Linked DNA regions of Arabidopsis thaliana. The protein of the gene in region 3 interacts with the protein of the main gene of each other region in a pairwise test. Each region holds a gene or a part of one and is shown on either strand. Other genes may lie near its edges.

Evidence for each region.
Region 1: the proteins of UTR3 (region 3) and AT3G27770 interact in a protein complementation assay, tested with the Arabidopsis thaliana proteins (one large-scale study listed by BioGRID).
Region 2: the proteins of UTR3 (region 3) and AT1G47670 interact in a protein complementation assay, tested with the Arabidopsis thaliana proteins (one large-scale study listed by BioGRID).

Annotation. Positions count from the first base shown.
Region 1 is NC_003074.8:10,285,107-10,289,523, forward strand, and holds AT3G27770 (plant/protein), read right to left. Parts: upstream 2,826-4,417; 5' UTR 2,562-2,825; intron 2,476-2,561; 5' UTR 2,369-2,475; coding exon 2,046-2,368; intron 1,954-2,045; coding exon 1,920-1,953; intron 1,833-1,919; coding exon 1,623-1,832; intron 1,509-1,622; coding exon 1,419-1,508; intron 1,291-1,418; coding exon 1,225-1,290; intron 1,135-1,224; coding exon 1,043-1,134; intron 961-1,042; coding exon 913-960; intron 797-912; coding exon 712-796; 3' UTR 551-711; downstream 1-550. Other genes in the region: EMB3123 (PPR containing protein), read left to right, coding at 1-382; MYB118 (myb domain protein 118), read right to left, coding at 3,661-4,254.
Region 2 is NC_003070.9:17,536,075-17,541,585, forward strand, and holds AT1G47670 (Transmembrane amino acid transporter family protein), read right to left. Parts: upstream 3,646-5,511; 5' UTR 3,413-3,645; coding exon 3,036-3,412; intron 2,341-3,035; coding exon 2,207-2,340; intron 2,077-2,206; coding exon 1,649-2,076; intron 1,567-1,648; coding exon 1,435-1,566; intron 1,249-1,434; coding exon 760-1,248; 3' UTR 551-759; downstream 1-550. Other genes in the region: AT1G47680 (uncharacterized protein), read left to right, coding at 4,701-5,015. UniProt on the Arabidopsis thaliana protein: Amino acid transporter.
Region 3 is NC_003070.9:4,910,571-4,914,729, reverse strand, and holds UTR3 (UDP-galactose transporter 3), read left to right. Parts: upstream 1-1,562; 5' UTR 1,563-1,700; coding exon 1,701-1,804; intron 1,805-1,993; coding exon 1,994-2,091; intron 2,092-2,186; coding exon 2,187-2,317; intron 2,318-2,431; coding exon 2,432-2,462; intron 2,463-2,547; coding exon 2,548-2,651; intron 2,652-2,743; coding exon 2,744-2,865; intron 2,866-2,962; coding exon 2,963-3,368; 3' UTR 3,369-3,637; downstream 3,638-4,159. Other genes in the region: FLP (Duplicated homeodomain-like superfamily protein), read right to left, coding at 4,083-4,159. UniProt on the Arabidopsis thaliana protein: Essential sugar transporter required for the transport of UDP-glucose from the cytoplasm into the Golgi and the endoplasmic reticulum. Essential for pollen development and involved in embryo sac progress.

The DNA.
Region 1 (4,417 bases), on a different chromosome or scaffold from region 3:
TTGCACACTCGCTGTCCATGTACTCTCCACTCTCCGTACAGAGTATCCTCCTCTTGACCTTGTTCTATACGCAGACATTGTTAATGCTCTTACGAGGAATAAAGAGTTCGATGAGATAGATCGTCTTATTGGTGAAATTGATGGAATTGATCAAAGAAGTGATGATAAGGCTTTAGCTAAGTTGATTAGGGCTGTGGTTGGAGCTGAGAGGAGAGAGTCGGTGGTTAGGGTTTATACCTTGATGAGGGAAAGTGGTTGGGGGTCTGAGTCATGGGAGGCTGATGAGTATGTCGCTGAGGTTTTGAGTAAGGGTCTCTTGAGACTAGGAGAGCCAGACTTGGCTTCTCAAGTCTCACTCAAATCTTCAATTCTAAAACCTTGAATTTTCGGGTTTTCGGTTTGGTTTGGTTCGGTTTTTGATTAAGTTCATACACTTTTGGCAAAGATTGCACTATATTCTGTTGCTATGGTTAGTTCTTTCGATTTGGTTCGAGCTGAAATCAATTCGGGTAGCGAAAAATTTACGAAATGGTTCATTGCGATATGCGAATTGGATCGGAAGTAAATAGTTTATGCATTGAAATGTTGTGGCGTTTACAATGATCTGTTTTGAAGATTTTAGACATATGGGGTAAAAAATTGTTTCTTTGATTGTTGTAACCCTTGAGCACTGACTCTTACGGGGCAGAAACTCTTGGATTCGAAATGACTTCAAGAAATGAGTTTGTATTTGATTTTGACGATTAATGCAAAGAGGCCATAAGAAGGAAGATGCAGGAGTGCCACCAACAAATACCTGCAGATGCATGAATTAAAATATTAAGGATAGGCGTAATCATTCTAAGGAATGAAACATTATGATATAAACCAATCCTGACTAGTGTCTAGTATGTAAATGTTTTCAAGGCTTACCACACTGGAGCCATGTCTAATGACAGGTTGAGAAATGGATATGGCCACCTAAGTCAATCGAGGAATACAAGTGTAAGATTAATCAAGACGGTAAGTGTAACATACAAAAGATGACAGAGAAGAGTTTTACCCAACGGAGATAAACATGTGGAGAATCCACTGGAAAAGAACGAAACATCCTGTCCATAAGATGAAGTAAGAGAACCTGAACAATGGAAATTTCTGCAAAGCAACATCACAAAAAGACCTCAGGTTCAACACATTAATGAAAACGAAAACTCGTCGTAAATGCAGAGGAAAGAATTGTTTTACCAGACGGTTTAGAAACGTGTCAATAAGCAGCAAAACGAGGTTGCTTGTGTGCAAATTCACAGTCATCTGAAAACACAGAATTTTGACACTAGAGAAGTTGAGACTAAGTTCAAGAGGGTCAAGTGCAACGTAGAAAGTGCCATCAGCAGTGTACAAGCTTTAACTAATATACGGTAAATGGCGCGAAAACTTACGAAACTCATCTCATAGTCCTGTAAAGACAGAAACGGGAAAATCACGGTCCAATATATACTGTCTGTAAGCACAGCTGCTCCAGCACCCATCTGTTTTTCAACAAACCAAAACACACAAGTATCAGTGATCATATATACACTAATGAAACAAGAAATCTGAAAGTTGCAAACTATACATCATAATAACCAAAGGAATCTGTCTACCTGATATATAATCTGGAAGAGATGAACATATGACTTTAGTGCTTCCGAACCAGAAGTTTTTCTCTTCTCGAACGAAACCATGTTGTCACCATCTATAAGAGGCGAACGAAACCCGTTCTCTGCATCGATTCCTACTTGATCAGCGATAAGTCCAGTGTTCCCTTGCTTCTTGTATTGTAAACATCCATAAATTGAAAGCAATGATCCCATCTACACAACACACAAGTGACAACAAACATTCAAACAAACTTGACTATAACCATATACATATTCACAACATCAAAAATCAAAACATACCCCGAAGTAGATTGCTATCAAAGTGAATGTCCACCTACCAATCAAAACCTCAATCATATCAGTCTCAAAACATCAAAGATATTCCCTTTCCACACAATAAAGCAGAGATCTTTAAAGAGAACTTACTGAGTATAATAGTAGTAAATACGCCATCCACGATTAGCAAACCGGGCAATATTGTTAGCAAGAAGGAAACAAAACCCGAGAACCCGAAAACCCAACAACCAACCCGGATGGATTCGTTCAAAACAAGGTCTCCAAACATCATCAATGCACAAAACATCATTACCATTAAGTGATGGTTGAGTTTGAACTGAACTATCTTCATACTTCCATAAGACTAATAAAGAAACAATCATTGGAACTATTACCCATATAGCACATAGTAACACTCTCCAATTAAACCAGTAATCAAAGCTGGTGAATTCCAAAACATTCTCAAGATTCATTTTTTTTTTCTTGTTCTCTTGTTGATCCGTCTGAATATTCGGATCTTTTAGATCCGAAACTCAATGGGATCAACACCGGACTTGAAAACCCAGATCAAAAACTGTCTCTGCAGAGGAGTTAAAAGTAGCTTAATTGATTTACATATAGAGATATTAGTGTTAAGATTAAGTAGCTTTGATTCTTGATACTTACGTTATGTTAAGAGAAATGTAGAAGCTTGTCCTTGTTCTTGTTGTTGTGTGTGATGGAGAAGTCAAATTGAAACTTGGAAGGTGATGAGATATGAGATATGTATAAATCTGAAGAACAATCCAATGGCGGTGTCAGAGGCCCACTGGAATCGGAGAACACAGAGTGGAGACAAGGACAGGTGGGACCTTCTCCGTTTGTCCAACGCTTAGTTGCCAAACGACGTCGATTTGGTTTCGTGTGTATTTTACTTAAATAGGCCTAAATCACAAATCTCATATAAATGGAAAGATATCTACAAGCCCATTATTATTTTTAACTATTTGTAGTTAAGACTAAAATTGTTAAGTTTTTTTTCTTTTTTTGTTGGAGGAATTGCACAAAAAGAATAAGAAGTAATGGTTTATTGTATTTGGTTAAGATCTCAATTTTCTATGTAGTTAGTCAAAATATCATTAATGAATATAGATCCCAAAAGTTTTATGTATTTTTCTTTTAGTTATGTATGACTTTTCGAATGGTGATATACAAAACAAATGGAAAACCAAAATATAATGTATACAAAACTCTCATTACGTTTTTTTTTGTTTGTGTTTTGCCTAAAATTTCTGGTATTACAATACGACGGACCATATAGTCATTATGACGGTAAGGTAACAAATTCCAGAAAATTACAATACAACGGACCATACACATATTATCCCATATTACATCATACTAACCAGATATTTTGTAAACAACTAGTACTTTTTTTCTTTAGCATAGTCGATATAAAATTATTCTTTAGTGACTAAATGTACTTGTTGTGGACCTAATGGTCGTCTTCTCCTAACCGCAAACGCAATTACCATTCATATAGTATAACAGAAAATTTAACAATATATATAGATTCTTAATTAAAATGAAATTAGAGAATAACAAAAAAAAAATCTGATAAAGCAAGAAAACCTTCAATTTTTGTTTAGTCCAAAAGAAACCTTCAATTAAACCACAATATATATTACATGTCCAATTCTTCAATTAAAAGCACAAACATAATTTCATAAATAGCATAATTATATAGGTAGATATAATCAAGTTCGACTTGTTTATATTGCACGGTCTAAAGACGACCATGAGCAATCATCTCCAGCAAAGCAATCTCGTTCATCATAACTTCATCACATCCATGCATCACCATCCAGCTATCAGTCATCGGCTCATCAATCTCCATGGTCACACCACTTCCAGAACCAGACGCAGAACCAGAAGTAGACGCTGATCCGGAGGCCGACATAGCCGCCAATGACGGCATCTTGATCCTTCCATCTTCTAAACCCAAGTTATTCACACCATCCACAATATACTTACATTCACCCTCATCATACTCCGAGACCGCAACCATTACATTCTTACCTTTACCTCTCATGTTTCTTGGACCAATGTTTGCGTTTGCATTTGCGGTCATGAAAGGATCATCATTGTAGGTAACAGACCTAATGTAGTTCTGAAGAGTGTTGCTACCAAGTGAAAGGGAAATTTCATCTTTTCCTTTAGTCCTCCTCGAGTGTTGTCGACGTTTAGTCGCGTTCCAATGGTTCTTGATCGTATTTTCAGTGCGTCCCGGGAGTTTTCGAGCTATCTCAGCCCATCTGTTCCCAATCTCCTTATGGGCTTTTATCAGTATTATATCCTCTTCTTCAGTCCATCCATCTTTCTGTAACATACCACATAAAATATGCTTTATATGTAAATAATACATACAATATTAAACAAATATTTTTATTTTTTATATGTTTTTTTCTCTTTTATGTTTGTTGAATTATATGAGAGAATCCAAGTGACAATGACTTTAGTTTAAATGTCTTACCAATTGTGAA
Region 2 (5,511 bases), about 13 Mb from region 3:
TCTTGACTTGTTCTATTTGTGTTTGGGCCGAATTGGGCATGGAGGGCAAAGCCCGTATCCCACAATCTCATTGGCGGTCCGACACTTCACCTAGAACATGACAGAGAAATCGACTCGATGTACATTGAGGGTATTAAATGCGTAATAGACATGAAACCATGCACACATCTAAATTCTCATGTACAAAAAGACACTCTAAAAACATGCCCCGTATCTGCTCTTATACAAATCGTAGTGCAGTCGTCCGTCGACAGGGGTATACTTGTACATCAATTTTCATCAAACATGAGCTTCACCAATTCTTATGTCAAGTCGCTTGATATCAACATATGATATCATGTAATTCTATATACTTTCCCTCTTCCCGCAGGATCCAAAAAGTTGTGCAGAACAAAAGATCATCCGAGAATATCATCTTTCATACACTAAAACGATTACTTTGAATCCGAATTCTTGATCTAGCTTAATTTAGTTTAATACTCATGTATCGTTATTTTTAGTAGTATCAAAATAATTTGAAAAAAAGATGGAAAAGAGAAAACCACGTTGGGAAAATTCCAGCTAGGGATTCAACAGAGGCACACAAGTGTGATTCTTCAAAATTCCAAATTCTTTATATTGAAAAGCTTACTGAATTATAATACACATTACATTGTTCCAACTTCAAAACATAGGCACTCTTAAACAAAACACAGAAATACAAAATCTCTTAAAACTTCAAACTTCCCAACCAAACAAAACCACATAGGCTATTACTACTTAGTTAGGCGGCTTGAAGAACTTGAGCTTAAGTCCATTGGTAACCATACTCCAGATCCCACCTATGGAGAATGCCAAGCTGAATGCAACTCCCAACCAACCTAATCCCCAATGGAAATACCAATTGAAACTGTATTTCGCCGGTTTCTTAATCAAGACCCACATGAAGCAAGGATAAGCAAATGTGACCGGGAGAGTGAGTCCACCGAGCAACCCCGCAAGACTAGACAGAAAAGGGAGAGCAACACCGATGAAAAACGAGACAAAACCAAAAAAGACTCGGAAACCTGATCTGACCCAAATCGAACACGGCTTGTTGGTTCTGCTTGTGTAGCCAGCTTCAAAGCTGTCAAAGGCAGGCATGGAGTATATCTGAAAACTGCTCAAGCAGCTGAAGACTACTAGGAGAAATGCCGTCGCTAATAAGCCTCTCGGGATATCGTGAATGTGGAATGCATACAAAGCAGCAAGCATACCTCCTGAAGGCATCTATAAGACCAAGAAAAAATAACTTCAAACTAATCCGGAAATTGAACCAAAGATCAGAAAACGAACTATAAATAAATGATATTAGTGTTCCTTTTGAATTCTATATTTCACTAACATGAACCAAACACCAGATAAACATCCTTCACTGACAAGACATAAACAAAAGATATAGTAAATGGAACTTACAAGGTTCCCATAAGCCCAAAAGCCTCCGATGGAGATTGGAAAGATACACAGAGCAATGAGGAAGTAAGAGATTTTGGCTCCTCTCCACATTGGTACGTGAGCAGGATGCTTAAACGTTGATGGCATCGTCGACTACAAAGTTTTCAATACTCAGAATAAATCATAAGTCCAATATGTGCATTATCTATAGACAGAAATATTTTGCATATTTTACCTGAATTTCCAAAACCAAGTTGTGACCTCTGAAGGCAAAAGCTATAATGCCAAGAGCATTCAAAACAGCGAAGAGTGAACCAGAAGTCGAAGGCATAGAAAGAGGCTCGTATGAGATAGTGGCTGGTCTTGGTTGGCTCACAGAGAGAACCCAAACCATTGTGGAGTAAGTTATTGCAGTCACTGCTCCTATTAAGGAGAGTCCCGCAATAGAATTGAGGTTTGGTAGCTGAGACAGAACGATGCAGAGAGATGTAAACACCAAATACCATTCAACTGTTGTTAACGGATTCGAGGTGCATAATGGACCGCAAACTATCTGGAAGAAGAGTTTCATTGTCTCTCCACCGATCAGAATCAGCGCTGTCGCGGTTCCTGCTGATAAGTAAACCGTAGGAAACAATGCAAGCCATACTCCTAACCTTTCTCCTGTTCCAATCAAGAGTACAAGATTTAGTAATAGCAACTTAGCAAGACACAAAATTAGTATCAATAATAATTGTCACTATTGATGCATTATTTCATCATTCTTAATGTAAAACTAAATTTATCATTTTACCAAAAGCAGCTTGTGCAAGCTCGACATATCGATTGTAGCGTTTCCCGGGGACAGCTTCGTGCAACTGAACCAGAATCCACAGTGTGTAGAGTTGCCAGCAATATGCTATTGTTAAAGACAGTATTCCCCAACTCCTGTAACAACAATAATTCACTTCTTGAAGTTTGGAAATAATATATGTGCATTTTCTTACATAAGAATCTCAAATACATGATCATTGCAATATCATTATTCATCACTAAGCTATTTAAGTATTGAACTAGCCAAATGCTCCACCTTAACAAGTTATGTATAGTTTCAAATATTAGAACTTGCAATAAAAAATATTTATCTAAATATAAGTTTATAAGAAGAAATAGTCATCTATTATGACGTCAACTACATGCCCTACTTATATATACACAATAAATACTTTTCAGAAAAGTGTTTTTTGCCGGAAATTAACAAGAAACAAAGTAGACGATAAAGAAGGCTCTGTCTTAATCCAAATTAAAGCAAAAAAGTATGTCTGTGAGTATCCACATGTGTAATGATGGAAGCATGACAAATTAAAAAGAAAATATCTACTGCTAAAATTGAAATGTTTTCAAAGTTAAAAAGTAAATTAGTCAATATCCTATTATTATTTCCGACAAGAAAAACATTTTTGATTTTTGCCCAAACAAGTAAAGTGAACCCTGAAACTGGATCTGAGCACCACAGAGAGTCGAATAAACCCTCGCCGTTCACTAAACAAAAATAATCTTGAAACACTAAACACAAAGTTCAAGAAAAAACTCAAAAACAAGAAAAAAGATTATTGGAAAAATCAAGAAAAACGCAAACGCACCAGCCAAGAAACGCAAACGCGACGGGAAGAACAAGGGCTTGAAAACCAACACCAGCGTTGAGATTGTGAAAAGCAGCGTAATGAGCGTTTCCATTACGAGATTCAGTGATTGGAAGCCAAGCATCTTGTGGGTTTAGCTTAGTGAGATGACCAACTTCTTCAAGATACCCTTTCATGTTCACAAGAACTCGTTTCATTGGTGTACCAATCGGACTCAAGAACCTCGGTGATATGAACGAAGTCGGAGTCCATGTCGCCGACGATGGTTTGGTGGCCGGACGAGGTGATCTTTGACCGGAGGGAGTTAGAATCTCCGGTGTTGAAACTCGTGGTGTGGCTGGTATTGATATTAGCTCTGTCTCGGGTCTTTCGTCCATTGGAGCAGGTGAAGAGTGCGAGAAGAAATGATGTTTTTTTTTTGTTCTCACTATCACTCTCTCTCTCACTCACTCCCTATTTAGAGGGGTGGTTTTTTTTAGGACAACTTTATTGGTATTGAAACAAATTTTTATTTAATTACAAGAAGAGGACAGATTAACTAACGAAATTTACAATTAAATGACAATCAAAGTTGATAATTAAAGAACATGACATGATTATTTATAATGGTCTCAACAGTAACAATTTTTTTTTTGTAACATTACGACAAAAGTAACCTTCCCCATCAATACAAAAGTTCTGAACATATGTTTGTTTGACCAGTAAGTACTAAGTATTATGATGGTGAGGTCAAGTTTTTGAACATTATGACCAATTTGTTTATTTTTTAGCAAAAAATTGACATGAAATAGGTGTTGATGATCATAATCACTTTAAGTTAGCTGAAATATTTCACCTTATCTGAGTGGAAAAATAACATTGATATATGTAAATTAAAAAATAACAATGAAATATGTAGATTAAAAAGTAACACTGAAATATCTTAGCAAAGTAAAAAGTAACACTTCAAACATGTAAATGAAAAAATAGAGAGAAGAATTTTTGAGGCCAAGCAAAATTTGCAACTCACCTTACTCTTTCATAAAAAAATTCAATACAACAATTTAATTTTACCAAGGGATTAGAGATATCGATTATATAAGGGAGTGAATGCACTATAACACCCTTCATAAACCACCATTAACTCAGTTTAAATATTTGATACAAAAATTTATCTTTGTTCTTTCTCTAATATGCATTATACAAAATAACTATTTAAAAGATTCGCAAACTCATTTCTTCAGTTTTTTACTTAAAAATAAGATAAATACATTTTGGAGTTGGATCTAAACTCAACATCACTTTTTGGATGATTGAAGATTTACAGGATATGCTTGTCTGAAAATAATAGATTTGGAGTTAGCAAAATCTTTGTATTCTAGTGATAAAATAGATACGAGTAAGCAAAATAAATTGATACACATAATTGTAATGAAGTTTGGTCTTTCAAACTACATCCATGGAATTACATAATTGCAAACGTATAAACCAAATCCATTTGCTCTGACCTACCACTAAGCTAAATTACATCTAAATTTAGAGTTTAGTCATGATTTGAAAAGGAAGAGTTACAAATTATGTCCAACTTGACGTTATTTGTATTTTATTTTCTTGTATCTCTTCTACCATCTACTAAAAGGAGATATCTTGCTCTTCAAGTTAGGAATTATCCAACATCACTTGTCGATGGACTTTCTACTGAAGCTACAAGGACATGACATGCTCGGTTATATCATATTGGAGTTGATTCACAGAGAAGATGTTGGAGAAGTACATGAAGAAGATGATGGCATGGAGGATATCACTAAAAAATACCATAATGAGGTTGGTGAAGTAGTTCAAGGAGTACCACAACTGAGAAGGTCGGGTCGACAAATAAGTCAGTCGCGGTACCTTGAAGACTATGTTATGCAGTCCGAAACAACTTATGGATTGTTCCACCAAGCTTATGTTAAAAGTAAGAGACGTCAACTTTCAACAAGTAATGAGCCAAGAGGCTAAAGATGTGCTTTAATGGAGGAAAGATGTGAAGAGGAGTTTGAATCAGTCAACAAGAACAAGATGGTTCCTTGTTGACATATTCATTCAAGTTTTGATCGGTTCAAAAGCTTTTCAAGAGTTTTAGAGAAGCAAGTCGGCTTGTCTATTAAAACCTTTTGTACCGATAAAGGAGGAGACTTTACTTCAAGGGAGTTCAATCGATGTTGCATAGAGGAGGAGTCTCCAGGTATCTAATGAAGATTCTAAATGATATGTGGAGAGAAGTCGTACGTCATTGAAAGATCATGGGACTACATCTAAAGAAACTAGATGAAGAGTCAAGAAGTATAATCACGAGGCTGCATCTCAAGAAGGTAGATGATTGGTCAATCTTGGAACTAAGTCAGATTTTAGAGATGTTTAAACCAAGTTGGGTTTTATTAGAGAATATCAAAACAAGCAAGGTCATGGTATTTGGGTGTTTTGTACTAGTCATTGAAGTACAAGTAATATTTAG
Region 3 (4,159 bases):
CACAATTATTAGCGAGATTCCCCTTCAATCAAGATGTTAAGTGTTTACAACTTTTCTTTGGATGTTATATTTATGTTTAAGAAACTTTTACATACACTTCCAAATTATGAGAGATATCAAAACCTTAGAATAAAATTTGGTATTATGGACGATTTTATCTTTCTGAGACGTATTGGATTTACTATTAGATTATTGTGCATATGGCATGCATGCATTAGATATATATAGTCTTTCTTCGATAAATAAAAGTTTAGTCAATGGATGAATCAATCTTTATGTGTAGATCTTTTGTTGATCAACAGGTGATCAAGATTTAAAGGACCCGAAATTAGTTACGAAGTATTGTGGATTTTTCGCATTCTAGTTGACCAAATGAATAATTAAAGTATGAGATTCAACTCTTAAATAATATTTTTGTAAAATTAAGTTTTGAGTTAAGAGACAACGTTAAACCGTCATAATTTATGTGTGTTATATATATAATCGTCAAACCATGGTAAATAACTAAACGCATAGTAGACAAAAAATTTGTAATCATAGATGTAGACGACGGTAATCATCATTTAGATTTGAATTTTTAATGGAACGTGGTGGCTAACGTCGAATACATTTTTGGTGTATTTCTTAAATATAATATCCCATGCATTGACCCAAGAAACTACTTATTAATCAGTTAATCTATATTCACATTGTTATTGACCGGCAGATCGAAAGAGAGTTCTTTTTTCTTTTGCATATTGCATATCACGTGTGGACAAAAGCCCCATTTGGAATCTTTTATGATATTATATTGTTATGTTACACATTAATTTGTTATCTCACCAAGACTTCTATTTTCATTTTGTATCCGGTAAGAGTCACTCTTTTGAGTTTTGACTTTTGACTCTTCAAAATGTATAATTGGTTCTCCCATGAGGATTAAGTATGTCATATAAATTCCGTTTCCCAATATATATAACTTCTATTTTCATTGAGATATAGTATAATATTATTCGTATAGAAAATTACTCAAATCATAATGAACTATGCATGAGTGCATGCATGTGATACCTTGTTTTAATATAATGGAAATTCGATATTTCAAACTTTTCTCGCTATGTTGACGTTATTGTCACATTTACTTTAAGATATATCATATTTTGTTTTAGTAATCTTAACAATGGGTCATCACTAAATTTTAATCAATTAAATCATGTTGGCAACTTTCCTCCATTTGTGTATATACGCCTTTTTCTTTCATTTTCTTACCACAAGTGATCTTAGATTTGTATGAATTCATCAGTTAGTCAAACTGACATGATTAGCTGTGTGCAAGTTTGCTTAATCAAATTAAGGCCCAAGCTGTAAAAAGAACATCCGTTTACAAGTTCTAGGAAACTGCGTGACGTTTTCATGACAATAAAACGGCACATAGTTCCCATTCCTATCTCAGACATGAATGTGCATATGACTTGGATTCCAGAAATAAATCCACGTCCTATAGCCAATCAGAAGTGTCATGTCAGATTATTAAGCCAATGACACAGTTACACGTGGAAAATCTACGTCTTTCTCGCGCCTCCTACACTCTCTCTAATAACTTTCGTTTCCACTTCAGACCGATCTCATAATTTGATCGCAAAACTGATCAAATAGCGTAAAATTGAAATTCAAATTTTCGCCGGAGCTCCGTCGGATAAAACAATAAGCGACGTGCGGCGATGGAATCTCACGGTTCCGGTCTCCGGCGAGTTCTGTTATTGTCGTTCTGTGTCGCTGGGATCTGGGCAGCTTACATATACCAAGGCATTCTTCAAGAGACCTTGTAAGTAAAACTCGTTAGGGTCGAAATCGATCAATCTTATTTTAGCTCGTTGATTATTTTCTCTCGACATTGCTCGATTCTGTTTGTTCGAGATTGTTTCTATTCTCGGAATCCTGGTTGGTGATGCGTTTGCAATTATTGGAAATTTATAGAAATGTAGCTGATAGAACTCTAACATTTTCGAATTAGGTCGACGAAGAAATTTGGTGAAGATGGGAAGAGATTCGAGCATCTTGCATTTCTGAATTTGGCTCAGAATGTAATCTGCTTGGTTTGGTCTTATATAAGTGAGTAGGGCATCTTCATTGTTTATTCCTTAGAATTATAAGTTTATAACAGACGAATAAATGGAACTGAAGTATTTTTGATTGATTATGAGCAGTGATTAAGCTCTGGTCCAACGGAGGTTCTGGTGGAGCCCCATGGTGGACGTATTGGAGTGCTGGCATTACTAATACCATTGGTCCTGCTATGGGCATTGAAGCTTTAAAGTATATTAGTTACCCAGCTCAGGTAAATTAGGCATTGTTAGTGTAATAAAAACCTCATTTTTCTTGATTATGGTTGATAGTTGAGGTAATAACCTTTCTTGGGAAGTAATATTGATGCAAAACTTGCTTCTTGCAGGTCCTTGCAAAATCTTCCAAAATGATTCCAGGTGAGGTGTCAATTTAGAGCATCAATCCATAATCGCTCTCAACTGCTGCTATGTGTATCTTATATATGTTTTTTCTTTCATGTAGTTATGCTGATGGGCTCCTTAGTTTATGGCATAAGATACACTTTGCCTGAGTATCTTTGCACCTTTCTTGTTGCCGGAGGAGTATCTATGTTTGCCCTTCTTAAGGTAGGCAAATCTGCATTCAGGAACTTTGATCATAATCTTTGTTATACTTTGTCTGTGGAAATGTAGTAAACCGTCTTTGACTTGGTTTACAGACAAGCTCTAAAACCATCAGCAAGCTAGCACATCCCAATGCACCCCTTGGTTACGGGCTTTGCTTCTTAAACCTTGCCTTTGATGGATTCACAAACGCAACCCAGGATTCCATTACCGCAAGGTATGACTCTTGACATTCTGTCAGATACTTAACCCAGTCTGACATCTACAACATGGTCTAGATGTTGGACATTAATCATCGCCATACATGGATACAGGTACCCCAAAACTAACGCATGGGACATAATGCTGGGAATGAATTTATGGGGAACCATATACAACATGGTCTACATGTTTGGATTGCCACATGGGAGCGGATTTGAAGCTGTGCAGTTCTGCAAGCAACACCCTGAGGCAGCATGGGACATTCTTATGTACTGTTTATGCGGTGCAGTAGGCCAAAACTTCATCTTCTTGACAATAAGCAGATTCGGGTCTCTAGCTAACACGACCATAACCACAACCAGGAAGTTTGTAAGCATCGTGGTATCTTCAGTTTTGAGCGGGAATCCGTTATCTTCCAAACAATGGGGATGTGTGTCGATGGTGTTCGGTGGATTGTCTTACCAAATTTACCTGAAATGGAGGAAGCTGCAGAGAATGCAGAAGAAGAAAAAGGCCTGAAGCTGAGATTGGGGATCAAAATATTTAATTCTTCAAGAAAATTGTTTTTGATTTGGAAACTTTTTACTTCCAAATATGTCTGAAAGTTAGAGAGAAGAAAGCTTAGTCCATTAGCAAAATGTAAACTAATGCATTAGAAGAAACTTATATATATCAAACCAAAAGACAAATCATATATTTCCACTCATATATATTTGTCTTAACAATACAACAAACTCTTCCTTCTGAGTTTTTCATTTTTCCTAAAGTTACACTCTGGAAAACTTCTTTATATATATGTGATAGAGATTCTGTACAGAGATGATGAAAACAAATCAAGAAATCTGGGGAAAATGCTCAGATGATGTATCTGAGTAAAGCCCTTAGAGACAAACCAAAGAATTTTTTCTTAAAGACACACTGGTGCCTTCTTTTGTAGATGGCTTCCTTATGTTAAGTAAGAAAAGAAAGAGAAATCTGAATCTGAGTATATGGCAGATTCTTGAGAACATTCTTTGATGGGGCTAGAAAATGTTACCGTTAACATTCTAGGACCAGGAAAGAAACTTAAAAACCTTGAGGGAGGAATGCAGATCATGGCATGCCCGCTTCACAAAAACTTCCAGGCCGATATGGCTGCAAAACCTAATATGAAATCTAAGCAAAAGTGGAAAAAATTACGTCTCCATGGAGACTAAACCGCGGTTTAGGGTATGAGAGAGATGGTTGGTTGGTTTACAAGCTATGGAGAAGGACTCTTTTGCAAGGGGGTGGTTTTGAAGGATTAGCACTTGGACATGGAGATGAGGACT